Linked DNA regions of Caenorhabditis elegans. The protein of the gene in region 2 purifies or fractionates together with the protein of the main gene of each other region. This does not show direct contact. Each region holds a gene or a part of one and is shown on either strand. Other genes may lie near its edges.

Region 1 (15,595 bases), on a different chromosome or scaffold from region 2:
CTTATCATCGTTCGTTCGAGCTTCACGCTCTACTCGTCACTCCTATCTACTTGTCATCTGTGGTGTCCCGTCTAAATGTTTTTTACATGTTAACTTGTCGTTGTGGAATCGAATAGCAAAACGTTTCCCTAAACTGTTAACTCCAAATGCATTTGCGTCGCGCCTAGGCTCTATTCCATTCGACACCCTCTTCCCCCCAACTTGACCTCCCGGGCTATAGCTGGTCCAACTGGTCATTTTACTTATTTGTTCACACATCATTTTATTTACTTTATTTTTTATCTTCCGGTGTAGCTCTTTCTTGTGACAAATAAACAATATTATTACTAACAACATTATTACTAATACCTAACAATATTATTATTATTTACTAACACTAATATTATTAATTACTAATAACATTATTACTAATGCCTAACAATATTATTATTATTTACTAATAATATTATTATCATTTACTAACACCAATATTATTAATTACTAACAATATTACCATTATTCACTAACAACTTTATTATTAATTACTAACACTAATATTTCTATTTACTAACACTAATATTATTGATTACTAATTTTAATTTCAATTATCCAGTCTAAACTACGAATTTCCTTATATATGCATTTGCCGATTTTTCATGAAACAAAAATCGATTGCTATAAGTTTATTTTTTCGAATGTTTGAATTCTATACTTTAAAACAATTTAATAACAACATTGGTTTCAAAATCGTAATATTCTCTTCAAAATTACGATTTTCACTTCAATTTTTGAATTTTCCACACTTTTTAATGATTTTTTTTTCAATTTTTTTCAATTTTAAGCTACCTAACAATTTTGAGCAACCACCGGCTCAAAAAGAACGTCTGTCCATCCATTTGAGCCGACAAATTCGACTTTGTTCGTCCAGGATCTGCCATTAAAACGTGAATATTCGTATCGGAAAGCCTCTCAGAGAGCTCTTTCGTAAAAAGAGCCGACGCCAGTTTCGAGTGCTTGTAAATCTCATATCCATCGAATTTTTTCCCGGCGTTTTCTGAGTTGAAATCCGCCAAATTTAGGTCACACTTTCGATCGATAATATTCGAATTTAGAAATACAATTCGGACGGGATTCGGCTGGGCGAGGAGCTTGTCCAAGAGGAGTCCGGTGAGCAAAAAGCTTCCCAGGTGATTTGTGGCGATGGTTTTTTCGATTCCATCCTGCAAAAAAAGATTGGGAATTTTTCAGTGTGAAAATTTGAATTTTTGAGTGAAAATTTGAATTTTTCAGTGTGAAAATTTGAATTTTTCAGTGAAAATTGGGAATTTTTAAGTGAAAATTTGAATTTTTAAGTGAAAATTTGAATTTTTAAGTGAAAATTTGAATTTTTAAGTGAAAATGTGATTTTTTAAGTGAAAATGTGATTTTTTAGTGAAAATTGGGTATTTTTAAGTGAAAATTTGAATTTTTGAGTGAAGATTGGGAATTTTTAAGTGAAAATTTGAATTTTTGAGTGAAAATTGGGTATTTTTAAATGAAAATTTGAATTTTTAAGTGAAAATTTGAATTTTTAAGTGAAAATTTGAATTTTTCAGTGTGAAAATGTGATTTTTTACGAAATTTTTCACTTAAAAATTGAAATTTCGTGTCGAAAATCCATTTTTACTCAAAAAATTTAGAAATTTGGCGATTTTTGGTTACTGTAGCCTCAAAATCTCCGCATACACCAGGCTACAGTAACCCAAGACACCAGATTTTACGACAATTTGCACAAAAAATCGAAAAAATAGAATTTTTGGGTAATTTGTCATGAGAAATCTGAATTTTTTACGATTTTTCTTTAAAAAAAACCAGTTTTCGCCGTTTTTAGTGCTGAAAAATGGGAATTTCGGCGAATTTTCAAATTTTCATGAAAAAATCCAAAGTTTTCACGATTTTTAATTTAAAAATTAGGAAATTTCGGTGTTTTTAGTGCGAAAATGTGATTTTTTGGTTTTTGGGGTACTGTCACCCCAAAAGTCCGCAAACACCCGGCTATAGTAACCCAAAACACCAGATTTTACGACAATTTGCACTAAAAGCCTTTTTTATTCAAAAAAAACTAGTTTTCAGGTAAAAACACAGAAATTTTCATGATTTTTACCTGAAAAATTGTGCTGTTTTCAGTGCAAAAAAGTCATTTTTCCGAGTTTTTGGGTTACTGTAGCTCCAAAAGTGTCCGCAAACACCGAGCTACAGTAACCCAAAACACAAGATTTGACGGAAAAATACACTAAAAGCCCATTTTAGTCCCAAAAAATTAATTTTCAGGGAGAAAAACAGAAATTTTCATGATTTTTATCTGAAAAATCGAAAAATTAAGGTGTTTTCACAGTGAAAAAGTGATTTTTCGTTTTTTGGGGTTACCGTAGCTCCAAAAGTCCGCAACCACCAAAGCTACAGTAACCCAATACTCCAGATTTCACGACAATTTGCACTAAAATTCAAAATTTTCGGTGGAAAATCAAGATTTTTCGTTTTTTTCCGGAAAAAAAAGTCATTATTTTCGTAAAAAATCGGAAAGTATGGGGCATTTTCCGTAATTTTTCACTTTTTCCATCAAAAATGACCCAGAAATTCGAATTTTCCATCAAAATTCTCGTTTTTGGACATTTTTTATCGAGAAAACTCGAAAAAAAAAACCGATTTTCACCAAAAAATAACCCAGAAAATCGAATTATTAGGTCAAAAACCGCGAAATTTTGAATTTTCAGGCTAAAAAAGCGAATTTTTACTTTATTTACAGCCCGTTCACTCTGCATCATCGCCGCATTATGCACAATTCCATCAATTCGATCCAATTCGAATTTTCCTTTGGACAACTTTTGGACAAACGTTCGGATACTGTCAAAATCTTCCAAATCGCATTGACGGCAGTATACCTGGAAACAATCAGGGATTTTTTGGGGAAAATTAGCGAAAAAAAAACACAAAAATCGGTGAAAAATGAGCATTTTTCAGCTCAAAATTGACTTTTTTCTCATTTTTTCCAGATTTTCACTCGAAAAACCGGCAAATTGACATTTTGCCGTTTTTTAACTGAAAATTCGTAAGTTTTACAAAATTCTGTGAACAATGCGATTTTTAGACATTTTTCGAGCCGGAAATGAATTTTAATTGTATTTTCCTGACAGTCGGCTGAAAAATACATTTTTCGCAATTTTTGCCCTTTTTTAACTGAAAATTCGTAAATTTCTAGGATTTTTTACAGGAAAACTCATATTTTTCATCAAAAAACTGGTTAAAAATGCAATTTTCCAGCTCAAATCGATGAAAACTTCTGTTTTTCAGCTTCAAATTGCCATTTTTATCGAGAAAATCGTCGGAAATTCACAATTTTCGGGTAAAAATTGAGTTTAATTCAAATTTTTGCCAATTTTCACTCAAAGTTTCGTGAAAAATGGGATTTTTAGACATTTTTTTCCAATAAAAATGAGCCTTTTTGAGCGAAAAATCGATTTTTAGAGCGAAAAAAATCGATTTTTTGACATTTTTCGAGCCGAAAATGAATTTTAATCGGATTTTCCTGAGAAATCTGTTGAAAAATGCAATTTTCCAGCTCGAAATTGACATTTTTTGCAATTTTTCCGGTTTTTTAACTGAAAATTCCTAATTTTTTAGGATTTTTACAGGAAAACTCATATTTTTCCACAAAAGACAGGTCAAAAATGCGATTTTCCAGCTCAAATCGGTGAAAATTTCTGTTTTTCAACTCCAAATTGCTGTATTTATCGAGAAAATCGTCGGAAAATTGCAATTTTCGGGTAAAAAGTGGATTTTAATCGATTTTTGCCGATTTTCACACAAAATTTCGTGAAAAATGCGATTTTTCAGCAAAATTAGCCGATTTATAGCCATTTTTCCGGGTAAAAATCGATTTTTAACCGAATTTTGGTGAAAAATTCAATTTTTCAGCTCATTTTCGTCCGAATCGTCTCGAATTCCAACCTGCTTGTTCCTGGTATTCAGGACAATATCCCGGCGAACTTGAACGCATTTCTCGCGATTCCGGCAAGCCATAATGACACGTGCATTACGTTTTGCCAGTTCTTCTGCAGTCGCCTGGCCGATGCCTGAGGTGGCACCGGTTACGATGTACGTTTTGCCGGCAAGATCCTCGTGAAGATCGTATTTGGTGCCTGATTGGGTTGAGCTGGAAGTGGAAAAAGTGAAAATTTAGGTGTTTTTAGTGGAAAAATGGCGAAAAAAGCTTGAAAATTGGGCTCGCAGCGCCCGAAAACGTGTAGTTTGTAGTCTAAGCAGCGCCCAAAACTTGTAGTTTGTAGTTTAGCAGCGCCCAAAACTTGTAGTTTGTAGTTTAGCAGCGCCCAAAACTTGTAGTTTGTAGTTTAGCAGCGCCCAAAACTTGTAGTTTGTAGTCTTAGCAGCGCCCAAAACTTGTAGTTTGTAGTTTAGCAGCGCCCAAAACTTGTAGTTTGTAGTTTAGCAGCGCCCAAAACTTGTAGTTTGTAGTCTTAGCAGCGCCCAAAATTGAATTAGCAGCGCCCAAAACTTGTAGTTTGTAGTTTTAGCAGCGCCCAAATCTTGTAGTTAGTAGTTTAGCAGCGCCCAAATCTTGTAGTTTGTAGTTTTAGCAGCGCCCAAAATTGAATTAGCAGCGCCCAAAAAATTGTAGTTTGTAGTTTAGCAGCGCCCAAAAACGTGTTTTTTGATCAATTTTTCGTGTAAAAACTCAATTTTTTCGCTGAAAATTCGATTTTTTGCACAAAATTTCAATTTTTGACCAATTTTCATCAGAAAACACCTAGTTTTTGATCATTTCGCAGTAAATTTGAGGAAAAATTGGATTTTTTTAAAGAGAAACGATCTATAAAATTAAGATGACGTGGATTAGTGGAAAAAACCGCTTTCGGTAGGTTTTTCGGGAAAAATGAAGAGTTTTGAAGCATTTTTGACGAAAAATCGATTTTTTCAGAATAAATTTCATTTTCATTCGGTTTTTTCTGGGTGAAAATTGAACTAAACCGAATTTTTGATCAGTTTTCTGTGAGAAATCGAGAAAATTTCCTTGAAAAGACAAATTTCAGAGCTAAAAACTAAATTTCCCGTGTTAAAATCGATTTTCCGGCTGAAAATTTAATTTTCAATCGAAATTTATCGATTTTCATATTTTTATCGGATAAATGTGATTTTTTCCGCTGAATTTCTGGTTTTTGACGCATTTTCTCCGGATTTTCAATCGAAAACTTACTCCCAAACGTGGTATCCACCATAGGCGAGCCCAAAAGCCGAAAATCCGACAGACCAAGGGGAGGTTAAGCCCTGAATCAGGCGGCGGCCAGCCATTTCTTCTGAAACCTAGAATTTTTGGCCTAATTCAAGTCTGAAACAATTTTTTTTGAAAAAAAAAATACAAAACCGCAGACTTGTTACTGTAATTTTTGAGTTTTAGAGCTTACTTACAACATTTTAAATTAATTTTTCGCGTTATTTAAATAATAAATACACATAGAAAAAAAACAAATAAATTATAAATTATAAATTGTCTACCCTCTGGAATCGATAAAAATCGATCAAAAATACATTAAAATTCAAAAAAAAAACGGGAAAAATAGGGAAAAATAAAGAAAACCAGTAGAATTTGGTGGGAAAAGTCAAAAAACTGAAAAATCGACGTCTAGACAAGCTTCTTGGCCTCGAAAAATCCACGAAGATGACGCATTTGCCAGGCACCGGTGATGGCAAGAACGACGACCTGAAAAATTGCAAAATTTATCGATTTTCAGCACAAAATTCGGCAATTTACTTGAGCAATAGACCAGTAGAAAACTCGCGAATTGGTAGATTCAGAAGTTTGACGGAATCTCTCTTCACGATATCTTTGATAATTCTGTTCTTTTGTGATTTGGTCGACTTGGTCCAAAAGTTGACGAATACGGAGTTGAAGCTCGTTCAGCTTGTCCTTTTGGGCGATCTGGAAGAAAATTCGGTGATTTTTGGGTGAAAATGTGGAAATTTTGCGCCAAATTTGTAGTTTGTAGTGTTAGCAGCGCAAAAATGTTGAAAATTTGAAGGAAAATGGGTTTCGCAGCGCCAAAAAGTTGTAGTTTGTAGTTTAGTAGCGCCCAAAACTTGTAGTTTGTAGTTTAGCAGCGCAAAAATGTTGAATTAGCAGCGCCCAAAACTTGTAGTTTGTAGTTTTAGCAGCGCCCAAAATTTTTTTTATCACAAAATTAGTGTTTTTGCATGAAATTACATGTTTTTGATCTATTTTCGAGTGAAAACTCAATTTTTCACTGAAAATACGATTTTTTTGCACAGAATTTTAATTTTTTGACCAATTTTCATCAGAATGAGCCTGGTTTTTGATAATTTCACAGCAAATTTGAGGATTTTTTCGAAGAGAAATTATCTATGAAATTATGATGACGTAGACGAAGTGAAAACGCCATTTTTTGGCAGGTTTTTCGGGAAAAATGAGTTTTGAAGCATTTTTGACGAAAAAGCGCCCAAAACTTGTAGTCTGTAGTGTTAGCAGCGCCCAAAATTGAATTAGCAGCGCCCGAAACTTGTAGTTAGTAGTTTAGCAGCGCCCAAATCTTGTAGTTTGTAGTGTTAGCAGCGCCCAAAACTTGTAGTTTGTAGTGTTAGCAGCGCCCAAATTGAATTAGCAGCGCCCAATATGAATTAGCAGCGCCCAAAATGAATTAGCAGCGCCCAAATCTTGTAGTTTGTAGTGTTAGCAGCGCCCAAAAAGTGTAGTTTGTAGTGTTAGCAGCGCCCAAAACTTGTAGTTTGTAGTTTAGCAGCGCCCAAAAAGTGTAGTTTGTAGTGTTAGCAGCGCCCAAATTGAATTAGCAGCGCCAAAAACTTGTAGTTTGTAGTCTAGCAGCGCCCAAATTGAATTAGCAGCGCCCAAATCTTGTAGTTTGTAGTTTAGCAGCGCCCAAATTGAATTCGCACCGCCCAAATCTTGTAGTTTGTAGTGTTAGCAGCGCCTAAATTGAATTAGCAGCGCCCAAATCGTGTAGTTTGTAGTCTTCGCAGCGCCCAAAATTGAATTAGCAGCGCCCAAATCGTGTAGTTTGTAGTTTTAGCAGCGCCCAAAACTTGTAGTTTGTAGTTTTAGCAGCGCCCAACTTCAAATTGGTGAAACTTTGCATTTTTTAAGTGAAAAATTCGATAAAAAACTGATTTACAGCTGTTGTCAGCCTAAAAAATCAGTTTTTCAGAGCTTTTTTCACGATATTCATCAATTTTCATCCTAATATCTCCATTTTCAAGCGTTTTTTCTCGATTTTCGTCCAATTTTCGCTCTTCTTCTACCTGAGCATAGTCCTGAGCGTGATCTCCGGCCTGAATATCAAGATGAACACGAAGTTGGGCTCCGTTGAACCACGCAGTACTGTTGGAATAGATACAAATGACGTGCTCTCCTGGAGTATTCGATGTGAAAGTGAAACGGCCTTCGGCGGTGTACAATTTCGAAAGAATAACCTGAAAAATCGGGGTTTTTGGCTTAAAAATTGAGAAATTTCTGCGAAAACCTTGTCCTCTGGATCCTTAACCTCGACGTGCATTCCAATATTCGGATAATCTCCGTATCCCTTCGTATTTGGGTCGTATAATTGTACTTTGTAGTTTCCGGTCACCTAAAATATTGTTTTTTTTTGTGATTTTTCCGAATTTTTGAGCCTAGAAATACCATAGTCTCGTCTGGAATCTCCTCGATAAAGCATTTCTTCTCAGTTTCCGCAATATGGAAGTAGAGAGAATCGGCGTAGGTGGCCAAGCTAAGAAGTGCGATGAGAAGACGCATTTTCTGAAAAAAATTTGGGGATTTTGAGGGAAAAAGTTTGAAAAGTGAGGCAAAAACGAACAAAAGAGCAATTTTTAAACTCAAAAATTGAAAAAAAACACGGAAAATTTTTCTTTTATAGCGTTTTCTGCCGATTTTCTGCAATTCTCCAGCTAAATTCAAAAAAATAACACTTTCCGGCCCGAAAAATCTTAATTTTCACATTAAAAATCAAGAAAACCACTGAAAAACTAGGAAAATAAAGGTGTTAGAGCCAAATTTCGTTTTTACCGTTTTCAGTCGATTTTCTACGATTTTTAACGATTTTCAAGCAAAAAACCAGCGAAATAGCACTTTCTGACCTCAAAAATCCCGAAAAAACAATGAAAAACTATGAAAAATCGACTTTTTTCAACAAAAATCCGCCAAAATAAGTCCACGTTGTACTGGGTCCGCAAACACTGCGTGGTACGCAAACACCACACTTGACGACAGTTTTCTGGTTTGTTGGGTTTTTAAGTGAAAAATTGGGTAAAAGCAGTGAAAATTAGACGAAATTGAATGAAAAATTGTGAAAAATGAGTAAAGCTTTGATATAATACAGAAAAAATTTGGGAAAATTGGTTGAAATTGAGCCAGAAAACAGAAAAATCTAAAAATTAATTAAAATTCTTCAAACATCCACATTTTTTTCCTCGTTTTCTGCAGATTATCTGAAAAATACCGTTTTAAAGATTTTTCGAATCAAAACTCATCAAATTCCATCAATTTTCACCTTAAAATTCCCCAAATCGCAAGAAAACTCGCCCCACCGCTCACCACCGCTTTTTTCATTTCCAAACAAATATTTGTGTATTTCGCAATTTTCTATAAAGCTTATCACATTTCCAAGAACGTATTTGAGTCATTTTCAGTCGAAAACCGCTCAAAAATTGACGAAAAATGCCGATTTCGGAGCCAACTTGGGCAGAATTGCCGTTTCTCTTCAAATCCGCCGTCGTCGAACTGTTGCCGTACAAAAATCGGTGGGTTTTTGTTGATTTTAATGTTAAAAATTGTCTAAATTGCAAAAATCGCGCCTAAAGAAGGTCTCACAGCGATTTGTAATATTTTGCGCAACGAAATTTTTAAAAATTATATATTTTTTGAAAGTTTTGTTAAAATTAACCCAGTTTCAGCAATTTTTCACATTTTTCGTCTCAAAATCCTGTAAAAATTTGAAAAAACCTATAAAAAACGCTCAAAATCGAATTAGCAGCGCCAAACTACAAACTACACGTTTTGGGCGCTGCTAATTCAATTTGGGCAATCTATCTCATGCTCACATTTCCCATGCACACATTTCCCATGCTGACATTTTCTCCCGTGCATACAAAATATTCCCATGCTTACGCCCAGTAGTTCGAGTACTCCCATGCCTACAATTAATTTTTCTCCTTTTTTTCCGTTCCCATGCTGACACTCCCATACATACATTTTCTCCCGTGCATACAAAATATTCTGATGCTTACATCCAGTAGTCAAAGTACTCCTATGCCTACAACTCATTTTTCCCTTTTTTTTCGTTCCCATGCTGACATTCTCATACATACATTTTCTCCCGTGCATACAAAATTCCCATGCTTACATCCAGTAGTCGAACGTTCCCATGCCGACATTCCCACACATACATTTGTTCCCATACTTACAAAAATGTATTCCCATGCCGACATGGAACAGTTTTGTGCTCCAGAAAAACACAAAGTCAATTTTTTTGCTAATTTTCATTGTATTAGGCTTACTTGACAGCTTTCAGTTACAACTGATCGCTTTTTTTTTCAAAATGCATTAGTTCTCGATTATGAACAAGGAATCGAAGAAAAATGGGGATGACTGCCTATAGAGTAAAATTTTTTTTTGCTCAAAAAAAAATTTTTTTTTTGTAAATTTTTTTTCTCTCTATTTTGTAGGATATAATTAATTCGGTGAATTCCACAACTTCAAATGTTCATATTGCTGTTTCCGTGCAGTTATGAGTTTCGCAGTGTCTTAGGAACATCCCATTTTTTGTTGCATTTTGTAGGAATTCGGAGCTATCTTATAATTTCTACAAATTAGAAAATCCATTTCGCATTATTTCATGTAACTTGAACCTATTGCTCTTCAAAAATAGCACAGAACGAATGTTGATTCTGTTTCTTTCATTAAAAAATGTGGTACTGTGCATTTTTTCCCACTTCTACGACTTTAAAGGCGCGCGAATTTTCGCGCAATAATCTCGCCACGCGCATCCCATTGATTTGTTGAGCGCTGGCGAGACCAATGACGGGACCATTTTGTATAAATGCGCGCGCCTTTAAAGTCGTAGAAGTGGGAAAAAATGCACAGTAGCACATTTTTTAATGAAAGAAACAGAATCAACATTCGTTCTGTGCTATTTTTGAAGAGCAATAGGTTCAAGTTACATGAAATAATGCGAAATGGATTTTCTAATTTGTAGAAATTATAAGATAGCTCCGAATTCCTACAAAATGCAACAAAAAATGGGATGTTCCTAAGACACTGCGAAACTCATAACTGCACGGAAACAGCAATATGAACATTTGAAGTTGTGGAATTCACCGAATTAATTACATCCTACAAAATAGAGAGAAAAAAAATTTACAAAAAAAAAATTTTTTTTTGAGCAAAAAAAAATTTTACTCTATAGGCAGTCATCCCCATTTTTCTTCGATTCCTTGTTCATAATCGAGAACTAATGCATTTTGAAAAAAAAAGCGATCAGTTGTAACTGAAAGCTGTCAAGTAAGCCTAATACAATGAAAATTAGCAAAAAAATTGACTTTGTGTTCTTCTGGAGCACAAAACTGTTCCATGTCGGCATGGGAATACATTTTTGTAAGTATGGGAACAAATGTATGTGTGGGAATGTCGGCATGGGAACGTTCGACTACTGGATGTAAGCATGGGAATTTTGTATGCACGGGAGAAAATGTATGTATGAGAATGTCAGCATGGGAACGAAAAAAAAGGGAAAAATGAGTTGTAGGCATAGGAGTACTTTGACTACTGGATGTAAGCATCAGAATATTTTGTATGCACGGGAGAAAATGTATGTATGGGAGTGTCAGCATGGGAACGGAAAAAAAGGAGAAAAATTAATTGTAGGCATGGGAGTACTCGAACTACTGGGCGTAAGCATGGGAATATTTTGTATGCACGGGAGAAAATGTCAGCATGGGAAATGTGAGCATGGGATAGATTGCCTTCAATTTGGGCGCTGCTAACACTACAAACTACAAGTTTTGGGCGCTGCTAATTCAATTTGGGCGCTGCTAAACTACAAACTACAAGTTTTGGGCGCTGCTAATTCAATTTGGGCGCTGCTAACACTACAAACTACAAGTTTTGGGCGCTGCTAATTCAATTTGGGCGCTGCTAACACTACAAACTACAAGTTTTGGGCGCTGCTAACACTACAAACTACAAGTTTTGGGCGCTGCTAATTCAATTTGGGCGCTGCTAAACTACAAACTACAAGTTTTGGGCGCTGCTAATTCAATTTGGGCGCTGCTAACACTACAAACTACAAGTTTTGGGCGCTGCTAACACTACAAACTACAAGTTTTGGGCGCTGCTAATTCAATTTGGGCGCTGCTAAACTACAAACTACAAGTTTTGGGCGCTGCTAATTCAATTTGGGCGCTGCTAACACTACAAACTACAAGTTTTTGGGCGCTGCTAACACTACAAACTACAAGTTTTTGGGCGCTGCTAAACTACAAACTACAAGTTTTGGGCGCTGCTAATTCAATTTTCGGCGCTGCTAAACTACAAACTACAAGTTTTGGGCGCTGCTAATTCAATTTTGGGCACTGCTAACACTACAAACTACAAGTTTTGGGCGCTGCTTAGACTACAAACTACAAGTTTTGGGCGCTGCTAATTCAATTTTCGGCGCTGCTAAACTACAAACTACAAGTTTTGGGCGCTGCTAATTCAATTTTGGGCACTGCTAACACTACAAACTACAAGTTTTGGGCGCTGCTTAGACTACAAACTACAAGTTTTGGGCGCTGCTAATTCAATTTTGGGCGCTGCTAATTCAATTTTGGGCGCTGCTAAACTACAAACTACAAGTTTTTAGAGCTAAAAAACTCATTTTCAGCCCGATTTTCATGATTTTTGTACCAAAATTTGAGTTTTAACACAATTTTCTGCAAATTTTCAGCTGCTGCCTCCGAAAATGCTCAAAATCGGACCAATTTCTCGTCGATTCAACTCCAAATCACCTTCATGACGTGGCAATTCATACCTGCGAGAATTACACAGTTTTCACGTATTCCGATTCGCCGGACACCGTCTTTACACTGAAATATTTCAAGAATATCGGCGAAAACGACCTGAAAATCGAGTATTCCGAGTCTCCAGTGCTATTTGTGCCGGGAAAAAATCAGAAATTCATTTTTAAAACGTCAATCCACGTGGAAAACCTGGCCAGCGAAGCTGATGACGTGGATTTTGCACTGGACGATTTTAAGCTTCTGCTGAATAGGTTAAACTGCAAAAAGTCGATAATCAACATGATTCCGAATCAATATAATCCTATCGCACATCCGGATAGAACCATCGAATTCCGTCAAAGACTCCTAGACCTGATGACGTCATCATTCCCGAAAAAATCGATAAAATCCAAGTCACTAGTCATTCATTGGCATCAAGAAACACAAGAAATCGCTGAAATTCTGCAAGTTTTCCACACGAAAACCTTGAAAAACTTGGAATTCCATGATAGAAACGCCACGTGGCACATGGCGCCGATTATCGGAACGGAGCAGTGGAAGGGAGCACGATCGGTGCTCTTGGAGCACCTTTCAGATGTGAAAATTGAGGAATTGAAGGATTTTAATGAGATTCAAATGCATGTGAGGGATTCGGGGGAGCAAGAGCTTTGGACGGTGATTCAGGTGCATTTTTGAGAAGATTTTCGGTTAAAAATGAAATTTTTAACCTGAAAACTTTAAATTGTAGTGAAAAATTCAAATTTTTCAGAATTTCATCCGAAAAAACCTGCATGGCTCGTCATTCCATTTCACATATCGTCAAGCTGAGCCGAATGTCGATCGAATTCTTGCAACATTTAATGTTCCGCCAAGAGATGAACCAATTACTGCCAGGACACGATTGTAAGGGATTGAAAATTTGGAAAAACTCATAAATTCGCTTTTTCGAGCATTTTTAGGTGTAGATTTCTAGAAAAAACTAGTGGAAAATAGCTTAAGAGCAGCTATAATATTATAGAAATGCCAAAATTTTGCTCTGAGCGATTTTCCACAATACTTATATAGATACATACTTATCTACCTATATGACCTATATAGGCCTACATGGAACCTACATACCTAATATATATATATATATACCTAATGCCGACATGCCTAATAACTATATACCTAGGCAATAGCGAAATATCTAATACCTACATACCTACCACCTATATACATAATGCATACCTAATAGCTATATACCTAATAACTGTATATATACCTACTTACCTATATGCCTCATACCTATATAGTATATACCGAATATACTATATAGGTATGAGGCACACACATATATACCTAATAGATACATACCTAATAACTATACATCTAATACCTATGTGCATAATACCTATGTACCTAATACAGGCCTAATAGCTATATACCCACATGCCTACATACCTATCTATGCCTAAATTCCTAATTCAGTAGTATAATTTCAAATTCTTTACAGAAGATCCGTGCTCGGAAGCCGATTCATTCACACTCAACGTTTCCAGATGCCATCTACTGATCTTATTCTAGTAGTCATGATTTCAGAAAAAGAAGTGATGGGTACGGTATGCCACGTGGATCAGGTCAATGTTGAAGCGAAAGTCGAGAGAGGACTCTTGAGATGAAGAAGGATTTGTGGAAAATTAAGTTTTAATTTTTTTTTTTTTTTGAAAAAATATCGATTATTATTGCTTTATTATCATCCCCCGAGTGTGTATATTATGTATAACCTGTGAATAAACATTTTTTTTTTGGAATAATTTATTGAATTAGAATGAAAGAATATGGAAATTTAACAAGTATTGTTACCTTGTATTATTATTTGTTAGCACGAAAAAAGAATTTTGAAGAAAATTTTTTTTTTGAAAAATTCAAAAAAAAAATTTTTTTTTTCAAATTTCTGAAAATAACGTTAAAATTCACCCAAACACCACATAAAGCTACAAGTAAGCTGGTTATTTGATTTTTTGCACCCACAACGTGCAAACACTCTAGGAGACTACAATGTAGCCTCCCTTCTCCTCTTCTCTACTCACCAGAGAACCACCACATCGATTTTGCGTCTTTTTTTTTTCGTTTTTCTTCTTTTTTCATTTTCAATTTCATTTCTCTATTTTCAGAATTAAACCATGGTTATCACCTTAATTCTGATCTCAATTATCATATTCCCCATACTTTTATGGTTATACTCATGGTACATCACTGATGTAAGCTTGTTAAAAAAAAAATTTAAAAAAAAAAAAAGATTTCAGATCCCAAAAGTGTACGTCAAATCGGGTACGAAGCTTTACGAGAAGGTGAAAGCGAATTTGCGGATTTTGGAGCAAAAGTACCATCCGAGTTGGTGGTGTCCGTTTGGAACTACTCAGACTATTGTTCGCCAAGTCTTCCGTGACTGCCCGACTCTTCCCTTCAAGCGGTAAGTTTTAATATTAGCCTAATATAGTGGTGAAATTTGAGAAAATTAGGAAATTTTATACCGAAATTCATGAAATTTCACGGATTTTGGCAGGTTTTGGTATAAAACATTGTTAAATATGATAAATACTATCAAAAGTTGTCCTGAAACATGTAGAAGTAGTCAATTTTAGCCGAAAGGCAAAATTCTAACTAATCATGTAATTTCGGCGGAGAATTTTGACAGTAGTTCGAAAAATTTCATAGAAATTGAAATTTTTGGCCTAAACGTATTCAAAAACATGGTATTTTGCCCAATTTGCCCATATCTAATGCCTACTCACCTATGTTCCTAATACATTTATACCGAATACTTATACCTAATACTTACATACCTATTACCTACATATCTAATAGATACCTAATAGCTATATACCTAATGAGTATATATCTAATAACGTGGTAAAATACCAGAAAATCACAACATGTTGAGTAGAAATTCAAGAAATTCAAAAAATTATTGCAATATACTTAATATACCTAATATATTCATACGTAATAGCTATATACCTAATACCTACATGCCTACTACCTATACGTAAAAGCTATATCCTACCTAATGACTATATATCTAACATGGTAAAATACCAGAAAATCACAACATGTTGAGTGGAAATTCAAAAACTTCAAAAAAATTCACAAAAACTCAAATTCCCGATCAAGAATTACGTTGATAATCAAATTTTGCTCTAAGATTCCATAAATTCCCCGATTTCCAGAGAAATCGTCGAATTCTCCGATGGCGGTGCTGCTGGAATCGATTGGCTCATCCCAGAAGGAGCCGATGACGATGCTCCGATTGTAGTATTTCTGCCAGGAATCACTGGAAGTACCCATGACTGCAGTTACGTATTGCATCCAGTTATGGAGGCTCGTGATAAGGGATGGCGGAGTGTCGTTGTGAATCAACGTGGGCTCGGCGGGGTTAAGCTGAAGAATAGTCGAACTTATAATGCTGCTTCCTGTGAAGATTTGGAGTTTATTTGTAAAATGATCAAGGAGAGATTCCCAAAGGCCAGGAAATTCGGATGCGGTTTTTCAATGGGAGGGTGGGATATTTAAA
Region 2 (15,535 bases):
AAGGTTCTTTGGCTGAAATTTCAGATTTTTCTTTGACTTTTGAAGCCACTTTTTTCACGAAATTTCGGGAAAAACGGGCAATTTTAGAGGGGTCCTATAGAGTAGTGTAGAGATGCTAGGAGGTACGGAAAGGGTTCTAACAGGAGGCTACTGTAACCCCAAACTTCCAGATCTACTTTGCCTTCTTCACTGCCTACCTTCCAGGCATCCGAAGTTTCATGTTATTCTCCGCATTTCATATATTTGATCTACTCCATGTCTACAGCCCAATTGCACTTATTATAATGCATCGACAATTGAGAAATGATATTTTTGGATTGAAACAGGAAAATGGAAATGCAAGGTAACTTTTCCCCACGGATTTCTGGCTTCCTCGGGGTAGATTTACGGCGCGTTGCGTGTCGCGTCGCGGCTCTTGTAAAACTAAATGCGATTTGTCCGTGTGGTGTCAGGCTATCCCATCACGGTTTGATCTACAAAAAATGCGGGAATTTTTCGCTGCCCAAAAATATGTGACATTAGCACGCTCTTAATCATGCGAAATCAGTTCCCGCATTTTTTGTAGATCAACGTAGATCAAGCCGAAATCAGACACTCTGACATCACGTGTTTGTCCGTGTGGAGTACACGGCACTTTTGCGGGTAATTGTCAATGGAGCGCGAAAAAAACTCAATGAGGAAGAAGGCCAGAACGCCGCGTGATTTCAGAAATTCAAAATTGTTAAAATAATGATTTTTTTAGATTCGTCTCCTCGTCTTCGCATCGTGTCTCTGCTGTGCAGGTTCCGTCATAGATCTCGAATTTCCCGCCAAAATTTCATCTAAAAATTTGAATTTTATTTTGAATTAGCCCGCCAAAATGCTTTCTAATAAAATTTGAAAATTTGTCCGTGTGGAGTACACACACAGCTTTCACGCAAAAAAAAAACTCTCAAAAATTGCAAAAATCACTTCCAGAGTCCACGCAAGAATCCGTTAAGACTTTGTGTGTGTTTGCGTATTCTCGAGGCTACCGTAACCATTTTCGCTCCAATTTTCGCCAATTTCCCCATGGTTACTGTAGCGCGAAAAAGTACGCAAACACAACGAGAAACCTGTAAAAATCACAATTTTGAGCCAAAAAAGAGCAGCAAAAATTGAACCCATGTTGTTCATTTCACACGAATGTGGTGGGACATACAAAAAAAATAGACAGAAAAACGGGGGGTGAGGGGGAATAATTTTTTGCGTGGAAAAAAAATCAATAAGTTACGGACTGGGGGGCTGGGGGAGCAATAAACACTTGGAACAAAAAATCAATAATTAATTCCAAAAAAAAAATCAGTAAATCAATCACAAATCATACAAATCCAAGAGAGAAAAAAATGAATAAAATTTATAAGCCTTTGGGCCTTCAAGCCTTCTTCAAGCCTTCAAGCCTCAGGGCCCCTTCAAGCCGACGGAGCAGCAATCGGTTGACCATCACGTCGTGAACGCATTGCCGAGCTCAGCTTATCACCCAGTGTCAGGCACATTCCTTGGCTCTTTGCACGGATCCGAATATGACCGACGATCGGCGACGAGTCATCCATCGGAAGAGCCTTCTCGACAGAGACGTTCGCGAGAGCATCTTCACCGAAAATCGAATGAGCACATAGATTGGCTGCCAGGAATCCACAGTCGCCTTCTGCAAGAAAATTGGGTGAAAAATAGGTGAAAATCGGGCGAAAAATCGATTTTTTTTTTGCCCTTAACTGGTTTTTGCTGAGAAATTTCCAATTTTTTGAGATTTTATCCAAAAAAATCGATTTTTTTCCCAATTTTCTGAGGTTTTTGGCTAAAAAATTCGTTTTTTTTTAAATTCTGCAAGTAATTGGGGGTTTTTTGGGGTTTTGGTGCGAAAATTGGGCTTAAAAATCAATTTTTCAGCCATAAAATGTGTTTTAGTGAACATTTTTCATATTTTTTGTGATTTTATCTTAAAAATTCGATTTTTTTCAATTTTTTGCCGATTTTACAACAAAAAAAATCAATTTTTATAAATTCTGGGTGAAAATTCGGCTAAAATCGATTTTTCAGCCCTAAAATGTGTTTTAGGAAATATTTTTCAAATTTTTTGAGATTTCCTTCAAAAAATCTGGTTTTTTTTTTCATTGTTTGAACTTTTTGGCTGAAAAATGCAAATTTTTTCAATTCTGGAAAAATTGGGCGAAAAATCGATTTTTCTGCCCAAAAAAGTTGCATTTTGTGAAAATTTAAATTCGATTTTTTTGGGGGTTTTAGCCAAAAAAAAGGCTAAAAAATCGATAATTTTTCAATTTTCCTGCTAATCCACACGAATTTGCGTGCGAAAAATCCAATTTTTGTCCTAAAATGGTTTTTAACTGAAAAATTCGAATTTTTCACAATTTTTCGAGAATTTTCCAGCTAAAAATTTATATTTTCGAGAATTTTGGGCGAAAAATCGATGATTTTTCTGCCTTAAATTGATTATTAACGAAATTTTTCCAATTTTTCAATGTTTTTGGTTGGAAAATTCGATTTTTTTTTAATTTTTAATTTAAAAATTCGAATTTTTTCAATTTTTAGAGGTTTTTTGCCGAAAATTCAAATGTTTATTTTTTTTGGGTTTAAATAATTTGGGTCTAAAAATTGAAAAAATTCGAATTTTTAAATTAAAAATTAAAAATTTTCCAACCAAAAACATTGAAAAATTGGAAAAATTTCGTTAATAATCAATTTAAGGCAAAAAAATCGATTTTTCGCCTAAAATTCTCGAAAATATAAATTTTTCGAAATTTTTAGCTGGAAAATTCTCGAAAAATTGTGAAAAATTCGAATTTTTTAGATAAAAACCATTTTAGGACAAAAAATTGGATTTTTCGCACAAATTCGTGTTGATTAGCAGTAAATTGAAAAATTATCGATTTTTTAGCCTTTTTTTTGGCTAAAACCCTTTAAAAATCGATTTTTTTAGACGAAGATCTTGAAAAAATTTAAATTTTCACAAAATACAACCTTTTTTTAGGCAGAAAAATCGATTTTTCGCCCAATTTTTTCCAGAATTGAAAAAATTCGCATTTTTTTAATCTTTAAAAAATCCAATTTTCCAGCCAAAATCCTCTCGAAAATGTTCTCGTTTTCCCCTTACCAATCGCCGCATCTCCAGTCAAAACCTTCATATTCGTAGATGTCGACAAATGATTAAGGAAATCCCGTAGATCACGAATCGGCGTCATCACGTTCACCTTATTCTCCCATTCGAAATCACTCCACATTGTACGGAATTCTGTGTCTGTCACGTTGCCAGGCACTATGTAATCCTGAAATATATGGGAAAAATTTACTGAAATTGGCCAAAAATTCCAGAAAAATTCAAATTTTAACTGAAAATTGGGGCGAAAAATTCAGGAAAAAAAAATTAATTTTTACTTATATTATCAAAAAAATCCTGAAAATTGAGAAAATTGACTGAAATTTTACGAAAAATTCTAGAAAAAAATCAATTTTTAACTGAAAATGTTTAAAAATTCAATTTTCTGGCTGAAATTGTCCAAAAACCATGAAAATCACAACTTTTGACTGAAATTTTACGAAAAATTCGTAAAAATTCAATTTTTGGCTGAAATGTTTAAAAATTCAATTTTTGACTGAAAATGTCCAAAAACCATGAAAATCACAACTTTTGACTGAAATTTTACGAAAAATTCGTAAAAATTCAATTTTTTGACTGAAAATGTCCAAAAATCACGAAAATCATAACTTTTGACTGAAATTTTACGAAAAATTCGTTAAAAACTGAATTTTTGACTGAAATTCTTTAAAGATTCCAGTAAAATTCAATTTTTGACTGGAAATTGCCAAAAAATTCAGAAAATGTCATATTTTGACTGAAATTTTACGAAAAAATCGTAAAAAATCACAATTTTGGCTAAAAATTGCCCGAAAATTTTCGAATTTTCAGCTGAAATTTCACGAAAATCCCCAAAAAATCTCAATTTTTCGCTGGAAAATCCACATGAAAACCCGCGCACCATAATATCAATCTTAATATCCTGCAAATAGACACAATTCCGATCCGACGTAGATCCTGTCACATCATACGAAATCGTTGAAAAGATCACACCATTCTCCGTCGACGCAACCTTCACCGTCGCTTTAATATTCGAAAAATCATTGGGAGCAAGTGTAACCGGTGTCGGCTTATCGACAAGCTTCAAGTCTCCAACAGTGGCGAGCTCAAGGGAAACATTTTGAAGTGTATCCGATGTTTGATTGACAATGAGCACGTCGAGCACAATATCATACTGATTCACATTGACATAGGCTTCAGCGTAGATTGGATCCGAAAATCCGGCGAGTTGAATCACTTTTCCCAGTTTTGAGCTCGAAAAGTCGAATTTTTGAGCCTTCGGAGCTGTTCCAAGAGCCTGCGAGAGCGATAAGTCGAACAAATTCTCGCCTTGCTGGTTGCTCCGAGCAGAGAGCTGCGTAAAATTGATAGTTTTATCAATTTCCACAAAATCTTTGGATCGATATCCAGCAGCCGTGGTGGAAGCCATCTTCTCAGTAGTAACATCAAGCCGACTAATCGACTTGGCTCCGAGCATCAACTCTAAACTCTTCTTACAATCGTCGCCGTACTGCTCGTCGAGCCCCGGAATCCCTTGAGCCAAAATCTTAATTGTTGCTCCCATTCGATCGAGATCATCCTCGTTGACTTGTTGATGCACAATGCACAGCCCACTCTTTGCCAAATGAATAATCGACGAGAGGATAAGCATACACTCGGCTCTGAATCGATTCGCACGTTCGCTCGCGGCTCCGTTGAGCTCGGTGAATTGTTGGGCGAGCTTCGTGAGCACTGTGGCTAGCGATGCTCCGAGGAAGAACTCGCCGTCGAGCAGGAAACGTCGGAGTGGCGGCTTCTCGTTCTTTTTTGACGTGGTTACAGTGCTCGAGAGAGCCGTCTGAGTGGCGTACGTTCCGTCTGCAGTGACTTTCGGTTTTTGCCTGAAAAATTCGAAATTTTTATTTGAAAAAATTGAAAAAATCAAATTTTTCAATTTTTTGCGGGTTTTTCCAAATAAAAAAAATCAATTTATTTTCAATTCTGGAAGAAAATTGCGCAAAAAATCGATTTTTTTTCAATGATTTTTTGCGGGTTTTACCAAAAAAAATGCGATTAAATCGATTATTTTGAAAGAAAATTGGGGGTTTTGGGGTGAAAAATGATCGAAAATTAGGCTAAAAAATAGATTTTTTGCCATAAAATGTGTTTTTGTGAACATTTTTCAATTTTTTAATTTTTTATGGATGAAAAATACGATTTTTTTTCAACTTTTTACGGGTTTTATCAAAAAAAAAAGTCGATTTTTGTTTTAGTGGACATTTTTCAATTTTTTTGAGATTTTATCCAAAAAAAATCGATGGTTTTTGCCTAAAAAATTGAAATTTTTTCAATGTTTTAAAGATTTTCATTTGAAAAAATCGATTTTTTTCAATTTTTTACGGGTTTTACCAAAAAAAAAAACAGAGATTTTTTCAAAATTCTGGAAGAAAACTGGGTTTTTTAGATTTAAAATTTTCATTTTTTAAGAGTTTTAGCGAAAATTAAGCTAAAAAATCAATTTTCCGCCGCGTCTGTTCGACATGGATTTGTTCAAAAAATGAAGGAATTTCAGGGATTTGGGGGTGAAAATTTCGCAAAAAATCGTTTTTTCGATTTTTTCTGCCCTAAAATCGTTTTAGGGAAAATTTTTTTGAATTTTATTCATTTTTCTATTTATTTTTTTTTGGTTTTTACTCGGAAAATTGCGATTTTTTCCCAATTTTTCGAGCGGCAAAAAATCGTACTTCTGCTGCTGCTCGGGCTGCTGCTCCTCCGGCTTTTGCTCTTCCTGCCCAGAGAGCTCACTATCCACAAGTGGAAGCTCTCCAAGAGAGTTCTTAACAAGCTTGAGCACATCCAGAGCTCCATCGGCTTCACAGTACGTCGCAAGGATCCAGAGGGCTGACATGAAGATCGTAGGCGATTGGATGAACGGAATACCTTCACGGAGAGCTCCAAGGATCGCGTTTTTCAGGTTAGGAAGCTTATGAACAGCTTCACGAACGAATTGGAGCACATATGAGGAGGCTTTTTCATTGGTGTCTGATAGGAACTCCATGAGCACTGGAACAATAGTTGAAGCAACGTCTGGAAACTTGATAGTCGCCGCGTGAAGCGTCTTGACAAGCTCCTGCCGATATTTTCCATTTTCATCGTTGGATTCGGTGGCGGTTTTATTGATTTCCTTCTTCAAAAACATCACCATATCCTCGACATTTCGGCTTGAAACCAAATCCAACGCCAGGCTCAGCGTTTTTTTGCGAACTTCTAGGCCCGGCGAGCTGAGCACACGAAGAATATCCATGACAAGTCCTTGGAGAATCTTTTCGTTGCTCGACGAGCCGCGAAGAGCCACAAGCCGGTCGAGAACGATGAGCTTCACATTGTTATCCGACTCTTTGACTATCAGGTCGATGTAGGCACTGGCGGCGGCCTTCACGGCGGCTGGTACGTTGGAGAGGGTGACGAGGGTGCCGGCGGCTTCGTATCTGCAATTTTGAGCATTTTTTCGGTGAATTTTCGCGAAAAAATTCGTGATTTTCCAGTTTTTGGAGCATTTTGTGAAAGTTTTAGTGTTAAAAAAAAAAGAAAAATTAAACAATTTCCCAGGTTTTAGTGTCTAAAAACTGCGTTTTTTTCTAATTTTTCCGCTCATTTTTTCAAGAAAATCGCACAATTTTCAGGCTTTTCGGGTTTAAAAATCGTAATTTTCCAACTTTTCGCCTATTTTTTTTTATTTTGACGGAAAACGCGAAATTTTCAAGGTTTTGAGTGGTTTTTGTGGGGATTTTCGGGAAAAATTCATAAATTTCCTATTTTTCGCCTATTTTTTCCGGTAAAATCTCAAAATTTTCCAGGTTTTCAGTGTTTTTCAGGCTAAATTCACAAAAATTGCAAAATTTTGGAGGTTTTGGAGGTCTCAAAACTGCAATTATCTGATTTTTCGCCTATTTTTTTTTGACAAAAATCGCGGAATTTTCAAGATTTCGGGGTCTAAAGACGGTAATTTTCTAACTTTTTATCTTTTTTTTTTTCAGAAAAACGCGAAATTTTCACGGTTTTGGGGCTTTTGGCGTCTAAAACTCGATTTTTTTGAGAATTTTGATAGGTTTTTCAAGAAAAAATAAAGATTTAATTATTTTTCAGCTTATTAACGAAAAAATTGCACAATTTCCAGGTTTTGGAGCATTTTTTTCGAAAAAAAAAAACTCAACATTTTTCATTTTTTCAGGCTATTTTTCGAGAAAATCGCTGAATTTTTAAGGTTTTGGGGTCTAAAAATCGTAATTTTCCAGTTTTTTCGCTAAAATCGCACAATTTTTATGGTGTTGGCGATTTTTTGTCCATTTTTTCCAGGAAAATCCGTCATTTTTCCAAGATTTTCCTCACCTAACGGCTGGTGATGATGACTGAAGAAGATTGTAGACACATCTGATGAATCGGGAAGCCTCGTTTGGATTATTGTGGCAAACCTGAAAGAAAATTGGAGTTTTTGGATGATTTCGGCCATTTTTTTTCAGTTTTTTCGGTTAAAATTGGAGGAAAATCATATTTTTCGATAAATTTATCGTATTTTCGTTGAAAAAACCAATTTTTAGTTAATTTTAAAATTAAAAATCGATTTTCACACATTTTTATAGTGAAATTTCTAGATTTTCACGATTTTTCTGAGATTTTTGCTTAAAAGTTCATATTTTCATTCAATTTTCATAAAAAGCGACGTTTTAAATGAAAATTCTCCGTTTTTTTAAAACAAAAATAGCCTGTTTAACAAGTTTTTCTCAAAAAATCGATATTTTCAATCAATTTTCTTGAAAATCGCCGTTTTTAATGTAAATTCTCCATTTTTCAACGAAAAAACGCCATTTTTATAGCTTTTTTACTCTAAAATTCACATTTTCAGTTAATTTTCATAAAAAAAGTGCCGTTTTTAATGGAAATTCTCCGTTTTTTAACAAAAAAAAAAACCCCATTTTTACAGGGTTTTGTCAGATTTTTCCTTAAAAAACCGCAATTTTCTTGAAAATCGCCGTTTTTAATGAAAATTCTTCGATTTTCAACGAAAAAAACCCCATTTTTACGGGTTTTTTCTCAAAAAATCGATATTTTCAGTCAATTTTCCACAGAATGCACCTTATAAATGAGTTCAACAATAACGAGCTGCAATATATCTCCAAAAGATCCGACTTGATCGATACATCCCGATAAATAGTCAAGAGCACGAGCTTGATCTACGTGAAGGAGCATCATAAAAGCGTTACGCTTGCACGAAGCATCTTGCTCCTGTTCAAGGTATTCTGTGACGAGCTCCGGTGCGTCTGGGATCAGGAATTCAAAGTTTTCTGGAAAAAAAGCGGGATTTTTGGATTAAACGGGGAAAAAATGATCAAAAAATGCGAAAAAATCACCTAATTTTAGCTAAAATCATTAATTTTGGTCAATTTTCCGGTCCCGAAGTTGGTTTTTTCTCAAATTTTCACCTTTTATTGCATATTTCCATTGATTTTTCGTTAATTAAGGTGCATTTCAAGACCAAACTCGCATTTTTAGCTGAAAAATACGATTTTTCCTGGTTTTTTTGCAGAAAATATGACATTTTTAGCTGGAAATCTGCAAGTTTTTCAGGTTTTTCCCTGAAAAATTCGATTTTTCTGCTTAAAATAACGAAATTTTACGTATTTTTAGCTTAAAACATCAAAAAGTCGAATTTTTTTTCCATCTTCCAGCTTAATAATCGATTTTTGGCAACAAAAATCAGACAAAATGCTCATTTTTCAGCTGAATATTGGCATTTTTGCCGTTTTTCAGCGAAAAATAGTCAGAATTTCGTTGGAAATGTGATTTTTCTTGAAAAATCATGAAAAATCGTATTTTTCAGCAAAAAAACTGAAAAAAAAACCCCAAATTTTAGCTGAAAATGGGATTTTTGCCATTTTTGGCTGACAAAATCGCATTTTCAGCTAAAAATGTGTTTTTTGGCATAAAAATTGTAAAAAATCGTATTTTTCAGCTCAAAAAACATGAGAAATCGCAATTTTCACCAAAAAAAACTGAAGAAACCTTCAAATTTCGGCTAAAAATGCGATTTTTGCCATTTTTGGCTGAAAAATTCGCCAATTTTCAGCTAATAAAGGGATTTTTTCGCAAAAAATCGCAAATTTCACCGAAAATGAGCCTAGAAAATCGCATTTTGGAGCAAAAAATCAAAAATCTTAAGAAACCCTCAAATTTCGGCTAAAAATGCGATTTTAGCCGTTCTTGGCTGAAAAATTCGCCAATTTTCAGCTAAAAATGCGATTTTTTGCAATAAATGTACCTTTTATCAACTAAATAACGTAAAATATGCAATAAAAGGTGAAAATTCTTGGAAAAAAGTCATTTTTCGCATTTTCAAGCCCATTTCAGGCCTAAATAAGCCCAAAAAAACTCACTATAAATAGTGAAAATCGCGCAGACAGCGTTACGACGAACATACGAGTGCCGATGCTCCAAACAAGCTCTAATCGCCGGCATAAGCGGCTCGAGAAGCTCGGGCTCACGGAGTTTGCACAAAAACCGAAGGGTCGAACCGCGAACGAACTCATTCGGGTGTTGAAGGTCTTTTCGGTAGGCATCGCACACCAGAATCATCTCGTGGAGCAGCTTTCCATTGGAATCCGTCTTCGGAACACATTCCCAGAAGATCAAGAGCACTTTTTTAAGGGTGTGCTCATTGGATGGAAGACAGAAGCGGATGACGTACATTAGCATGCTCTGCGACGTTTTTTCTCCGTTTAAAATCATGTAAATGAGCTTTTTGAGCGCCTCAATTCGCTCTTTATCGCCTCCTTTCTCGAATTTTTCCTTCAATTGAGCTTCTGATGGGAGCTCAGCGTCACTGGGCACGTGGATGAGTGTGTAGCATGGTTGCTCTCCGGAGCTCATTGTGGAGGAGCTGGAAATTCGGGTTTTTTGTGGGGAAAAGAAAGAAAAAAGTAGAGAAAGTTCACGTTTTAAAAAAAAATTTGTGAAAAAATTGAATTTTCCAGCTAAATCGCATTTTTCTGTGAAAAATCATCGAAAATCATCGAAAAACGCCAGAAAATGAATAAAAATCGTCAAAATACGCTGGAAAACCCCCGAAAATCGCCTTTAAGCATGAAAAATGCCCAAAAACGTCAGAAAATGGATAAAAATCATCAAAAAACGCTGTAAATGACAAGAAAATCACTCTGAAGCATGAAAAATGCTCAAAAACATCAGAAAAATCAAAAACATCAGAAAAATTGAATTTTTGACCATTTTTAACCCTAAAACTCTTCGAAATCCAGCTGAAAACCCGATTTTTTAGTCAAAAATTCCGTTTTTTGGCGTAAAAATCGGAAAATCCCGGCTTTTAACCTAAAAATTAGGTGTTTACTGAAAATTTCCAAATTTTCGGCTAACAATCCCCATTTTCAATCGATTTTTTCCATTTTTCACTGAAAAAATCAATTTTTTAGCTTAAAAATCGAAAAATATCGGTTTTTAAGCTAAAAAATCAGATTTTTACTGAAAATTTCCAAATTTTCGGCTAAAAATCCCCATTTTCAATCGATTTTTTCCATTTTTCACTGAAAAAATCAATTTTTTAGCTTAAAAATCGAAAAATATCGGTTTTTAAGCTAAAAAAATCAGATTTTTACTGAAAATTTCCAAATTTTCGGCTAAAAATCCCCATTTTCAATCGATTTTTTCCATTTTTTCAGTAAAAAATGCCAAATTTTTTACTAAAAATGCAAATTTTCTGACTGTTCTTGTAAAAAAATTGAAAAAATTCAATTTTTTGGACAATTGTATGCAAAATTCGCCTTTCCCTCGGTTTTTTTTTGTGGTAAAACCCCGCGAAAATTCGCTTTTTTTGCCTTAAAACTTAATTTTTAATGGAAAAAAAAACGCGAAAAGTTGCAAAAATCCACAAAAAATGCGATTTTTGTTAGTTTTAGCTGAAAAAAATTGCATTTTTCAGCTAGAAATCTGAAAAATCACACAAATTGTTGCTAATAATGCAATTTTTGCCAGTTTTGGCTGAAAAAATTGCATTTTTCAGAAAAAAATACTGAGAAAACCACCAAAATTCTGCTGATAATGGGATTTTTTGTCGTTTTTGCCTGAAAAAATCGCATTTTTCAGCAAAAACTGTAACTTTTTCTGCAAAAAACACAGAAAATCGAATTTCTAATGGAAAAAAATCGCAAAAATCCACAGAAAACTACGGAAAAAGTTGCGAAACTTGATTTTTCACAAAATTCTCTCATTTCGCCTGGTTTTTATTGATTTTTTGACAGAAATCTAGGCTTTAAAGCTGTAAAACCCAATTTTCAACGACAAATTGATTTAAATTGACCTAATTCAACGCCACGTCACTTTTCACTCTTTCTACCTGTTTTTTATCGATTTTTGCCGCTTTTTCGACTGAAATATAGCTTTAAAAGCTTCAAAAATCAATTTTTAACCTCAAAAACCCACGAAAAAACGAAAAAATCCGCTGAAAACCGGCAAAAATCCACGTAAATCGCCGGAAAAAGATTGGAATCTAGATTTCTCGCACAGTGACGTGGTTCTCGCCATCCACCGTACCCCGTGACACAGCGGCGGGCAAATCGTGGCGAGACCCGGCCGCATTTTGAAATGTGATAATTTACACGGAAATCGACACAAAAAGCTTAAGTTCTCTCGGTTTTTCGTGTTTTTTTCACGAATTCCTAGTGATTTTTTATTTTTTATTCAAAAAAACGCAATAAAAACCCGATTTCAGTCAGTAAATGTCGTCGAAATACGACGATGATCGAGAACAAAAGCGTCGAGCGCTGAAAGACGGTGAATGGGCGTGTGTCGACTCGAAATGTGCCAAAGTAAACGAAGAATCACTTCTTGTATGTGATGAATATGGAAAACGTGAGGTTTTCGACGATTTTTCACCCCAAAAATTATCGATTTTCAGCGAAACCGCGCGCGAAAAGCAAAATTGGCAAGGAGCTGGGCAAGGAGCAGGCGGAAAAATCGAAAGGACTATTTGCAGCTGAAGATTGGGTTTGTTCAAAGTAAGATTTTGATTTTTACCGAAAAATTGGAAATTTTCAGTAAAAACCTAGTTTTTAAGCTAAAAAACCGGGATTTTTGCCTGAAAAAATTGAAAAAAAGATTAAAAATTGGAAATTTTCAGTAAAAATCTATTTTTTAAGCTTAAAAACTGGGATTTTTCGATTTTTAAGCTAAAAAATTGGCATTTTTGCCTGAAAAAGTTGAAAAAATCGGAAAAAAATGCAGATTTTTTGCTGAAAAATTGAAAATTTTCAGTAAAAATCTGTTTTTTTAGCATAAAAACTGGGATTTTTCGATTTTTAAGCTAAAAATCAAAATTTTCGCTTGAAAATATTGAAAAAATTGATAGAAAATGCAGATTTCTAGCCCAAAAATTGAAAACTTTCAGTAAAAATCTAGTTTTTACGCTTAAAAACCGAGATTTTTCGATTTTTCAGCAAAAAAATTGGCATTTTTGCCTGAAAAAATTGAAAAACTCGATTAAAAATGCAGATTTTTAACCGAAAAAGTTGGAAATTTTCAGTAAAAATCTATTTTTTAAGCTTAAAAACTGGGATTTTTCGATTTTTAAGCTAAAAAATCGGATTTTTTGCCTGAAAAAATTGAAAAACTCGATTGAAAATGCAGATTTTAGCAGAAAAATTTGGAAATTTTCAGTAAAAACCTAGCTTTTTAAGCATAAAAACCGAGATTTTTTGATTTTTAAGCTAAAAAATCGGAATTTTTGCCTGAAAAAATTGAAAAAACCCAATTTCCAGGTGCGGAAACGTTAACTGGGCTCGCCGACGGACGTGTAACGTGTGTAATGCTCCAAAATTGGCGGATTTGGAGCGTAGAACAGGCTATGGAGGTGGATATAATGATCGGCAGAACGTTGAATACGTAAAACGCGATTATGATGAGGAATTCGACGAGTTTGGGCGGAAAAAGAAGAAAAAGGGTGAGGTTCGTGCGGAAATCGGATGGAAATCGGGCGAAAAAACACGAAAAACGGCCCAGAAACGTCAGAAAATGGATAAAAATCATCAAAAAGCCCCGGAAAATGCTCAAAAAAAACCTGAAAATGGATAAAAATCATCGAAAAACGCCAGAAAATGAATAAAAATCGTCAAAATACGCTGGAAATGACCAGAAAATCACTCTGAAGCATGAAAAATGCTCAAAAACATCAGAAAAATTGAATTTTTGACCATTTTTAACCCTAAAACTCTTCAAAATCCAGTTGAAACCCCGAATTTTCAGTCAAAAATTCCGTTTTTTTGGCGTAAAAATCGGAAAATCCCGGTTTTTAACCTAAAAAATTAGGTTTTTACTGAAAATTTCCAATTTTTGGGCTAAAAATCTCCATTTTCAATCGATTTTTTCGATTTTTTTCCAGTAAAAAATGCCAATTTTTAGCTTAAAAATCGAAAAATTCCGGTTTTTAGGCTAAAAAATCCAAAATTTCAGCTAAAAAATGCATTTTCTATCGATTTTTTTCCATTTTTCACTGAAAAAATCAATTTTTTAGCTTAAAAATCGAAAAATTCCGGTTTTTAGGCTAAAAAAATCCAAAATTTCAGCTAAAAATGCATTTTCTATCGATTTTTTTCCATTTTTCACTCAAAAATCGAAAAATATCGGTTTTTTAAGCTAAAAAATCAGATTTTTACTGAAAATTCTCAATTTTTGGGCTAAAAATCTGCATTTTTTTCTCGATTTTTTCAATTTTTTTTGCACTAAAAAGTCCGATTTTTTAGCTTAAAAATCAGATTTTTACTGAAAATTTTTGAATTTTTGGTAAAAATCTCCATTTTCTATCGATTTTCTCCAATTTTTGACAGTTTTCAGCCGAAAAATCGAAAAAAATACTACAAAAATTTCGATTTTAATCCTAAACCCTGTTTTTCAGTCAAAAAACTTGGAATTTAGCAGATTTTTTTTGCTTAAAAATCGAAAAATTCTCAATTTTTCGGTTAAAAATCCAAAATTTCAGCTAAAAATCACCATTTTCTATCGATTTTTACCAATTTTTCACTAAAAAATTCAACTTTTCAGGATCAATTTCGAGATATGGAGGAAGGAGAAGCTTCGGATGATGAAGAAATTGCTGTAAAAGATGATTTGAAAAAACGGACTCCACGTGGAGAAGATGAAGCCGACGAAGACGATGAAGCCGATGAAGATGAAGATGAGGATGGAGAAGATCTTGGAAAATATAATTTCGATTTTGATTCCGATCCGGAATTAGTGGAAAAAGTCGAGAATTTGAAGAGCAAAATTGTGGCGGTGGCGGCAGCTGGCTCGGAAGCCTGTGATGACAGCGAGTTAGTGCGAAAAATGAGGAAAAATGGATGAAAATTGACGAAAATTGGCGAAAAAATGAGGAAAATCGCTAAAATTCGCCAAAACTTGACTGAAATTGGCGAAAAATCGCTAAAAATTGAGAAAAATTGACCGAAAATTGAGGAAATTGACGTTTTTTTACCAGAAAAATTGAATTTTTTCGCTGAAACGTTGCTAAAATCGAAAAAATGACCCGCTTTGTAGCGGAAAATCAATTTTAAATTGACTAAAAATTGAATAATTCAGCTTAAAATTTAGAAAATTTGCATCAAAACAACCTAAAACCATACTTATTCTCTGAAAATCCCTCCTTAAATTCGCTGAAAAACTCGAAAATTTGCCCGAAAACTGGCTGAAAAGGCTGAAAATTGTGTACATTTTTATAATTCTACCTGGAAAAATGCTTAAAAATCACAGAAAATTGAATTTTTCGACTAAAAACGTCTAAATTTCAGAGAAAAATCAAGTTTTCATCGGGAAAATGCTAAAAATTTGATGAAAATATCGATGTTCTTCCTCAAAAAATTGAAAAAATCACTTTTTCTCCGCGAAAAAGGTGAAAATTGCTCAAAATCCATCAATTTTTCGATTTTCTACCTTAAAAAATACAGAAAAATCACTTTTTCAGTGGGAAAATACCAAACTTTTCCTGAAAATATCGATTTTCGTACTTAAAATTGCTCAATTTTCACATTTTCTGCCTCAAAAACTACAGAAAAATCATTTTTTCCTACTGAAAATCCCAAAAATTCACTGAAAATGCCGTTTTTAGTGCTCAAAATTGCTCAATTTTCACATTTTCTACCTCAAAAATTACAGAAAAATCACTTTTTCTCGGCGAAAAAGCTGAAAATTGCTGAAAATTGGCTCAATTTTCATATTCTCTACCTAAAAAAGCAATGAAATCACGCGAAAATGCCAAAAAATTCACTGAAAATATCGATTTTCGGACTTAAAATTGATCAATTTTAATATTTTTTAACTGAAAAAGTTAAGAAAAGTCGGTTTTTCGCTGCGAAAAAGCTGAAAAATGCTCACAATTCATGAATTTTGCGG

The links.
Region 1: the proteins of copb-1 (region 2) and tmed-4 fractionate together in Caenorhabditis elegans (co-fractionation; one large-scale study listed by BioGRID). This does not show direct contact.

Annotation. Positions count from the first base shown.
Region 1 is NC_003283.11:19,941,293-19,956,887, forward strand, and holds tmed-4 (GOLD domain-containing protein), read right to left. Parts: upstream 7,802-15,595; 5' UTR 7,799-7,801; coding exon 7,685-7,798; intron 7,632-7,684; coding exon 7,527-7,631; intron 7,477-7,526; coding exon 7,306-7,476; intron 5,954-7,305; coding exon 5,786-5,953; intron 5,735-5,785; coding exon 5,657-5,734; 3' UTR 5,448-5,656; downstream 1-5,447. Other genes in the region: dhs-24 (Retinol dehydrogenase 13), read right to left, coding at 826-1,199, 2,754-2,900, 3,967-4,171, 5,231-5,325; Y60A3A.8 (DUF38 domain-containing protein), read left to right, coding at 8,720-8,802, 11,988-12,723, 12,809-12,942, 13,535-13,700; abhd-3.1 (AB hydrolase-1 domain-containing protein), read left to right, coding at 14,205-14,282, 14,328-14,494, 15,252-15,581.
Region 2 is NC_003280.10:3,073,286-3,088,820, reverse strand, and holds copb-1 (Coatomer subunit beta), read right to left. Parts: upstream 10,026-15,535; 5' UTR 10,016-10,025; coding exon 9,523-10,015; intron 8,434-9,522; coding exon 8,225-8,433; intron 7,564-8,224; coding exon 7,481-7,563; intron 6,580-7,480; coding exon 5,836-6,579; intron 4,993-5,835; coding exon 4,014-4,992; intron 3,303-4,013; coding exon 3,131-3,302; intron 1,667-3,130; coding exon 1,431-1,666; 3' UTR 1,139-1,430; downstream 1-1,138. Other genes in the region: srg-21 (Serpentine receptor class gamma), read left to right, coding at 171-343, 743-794; Y25C1A.8 (Zinc finger Ran-binding domain-containing protein 2), read left to right, coding at 11,875-12,007, 12,054-12,153, 12,913-13,099, 14,192-14,460.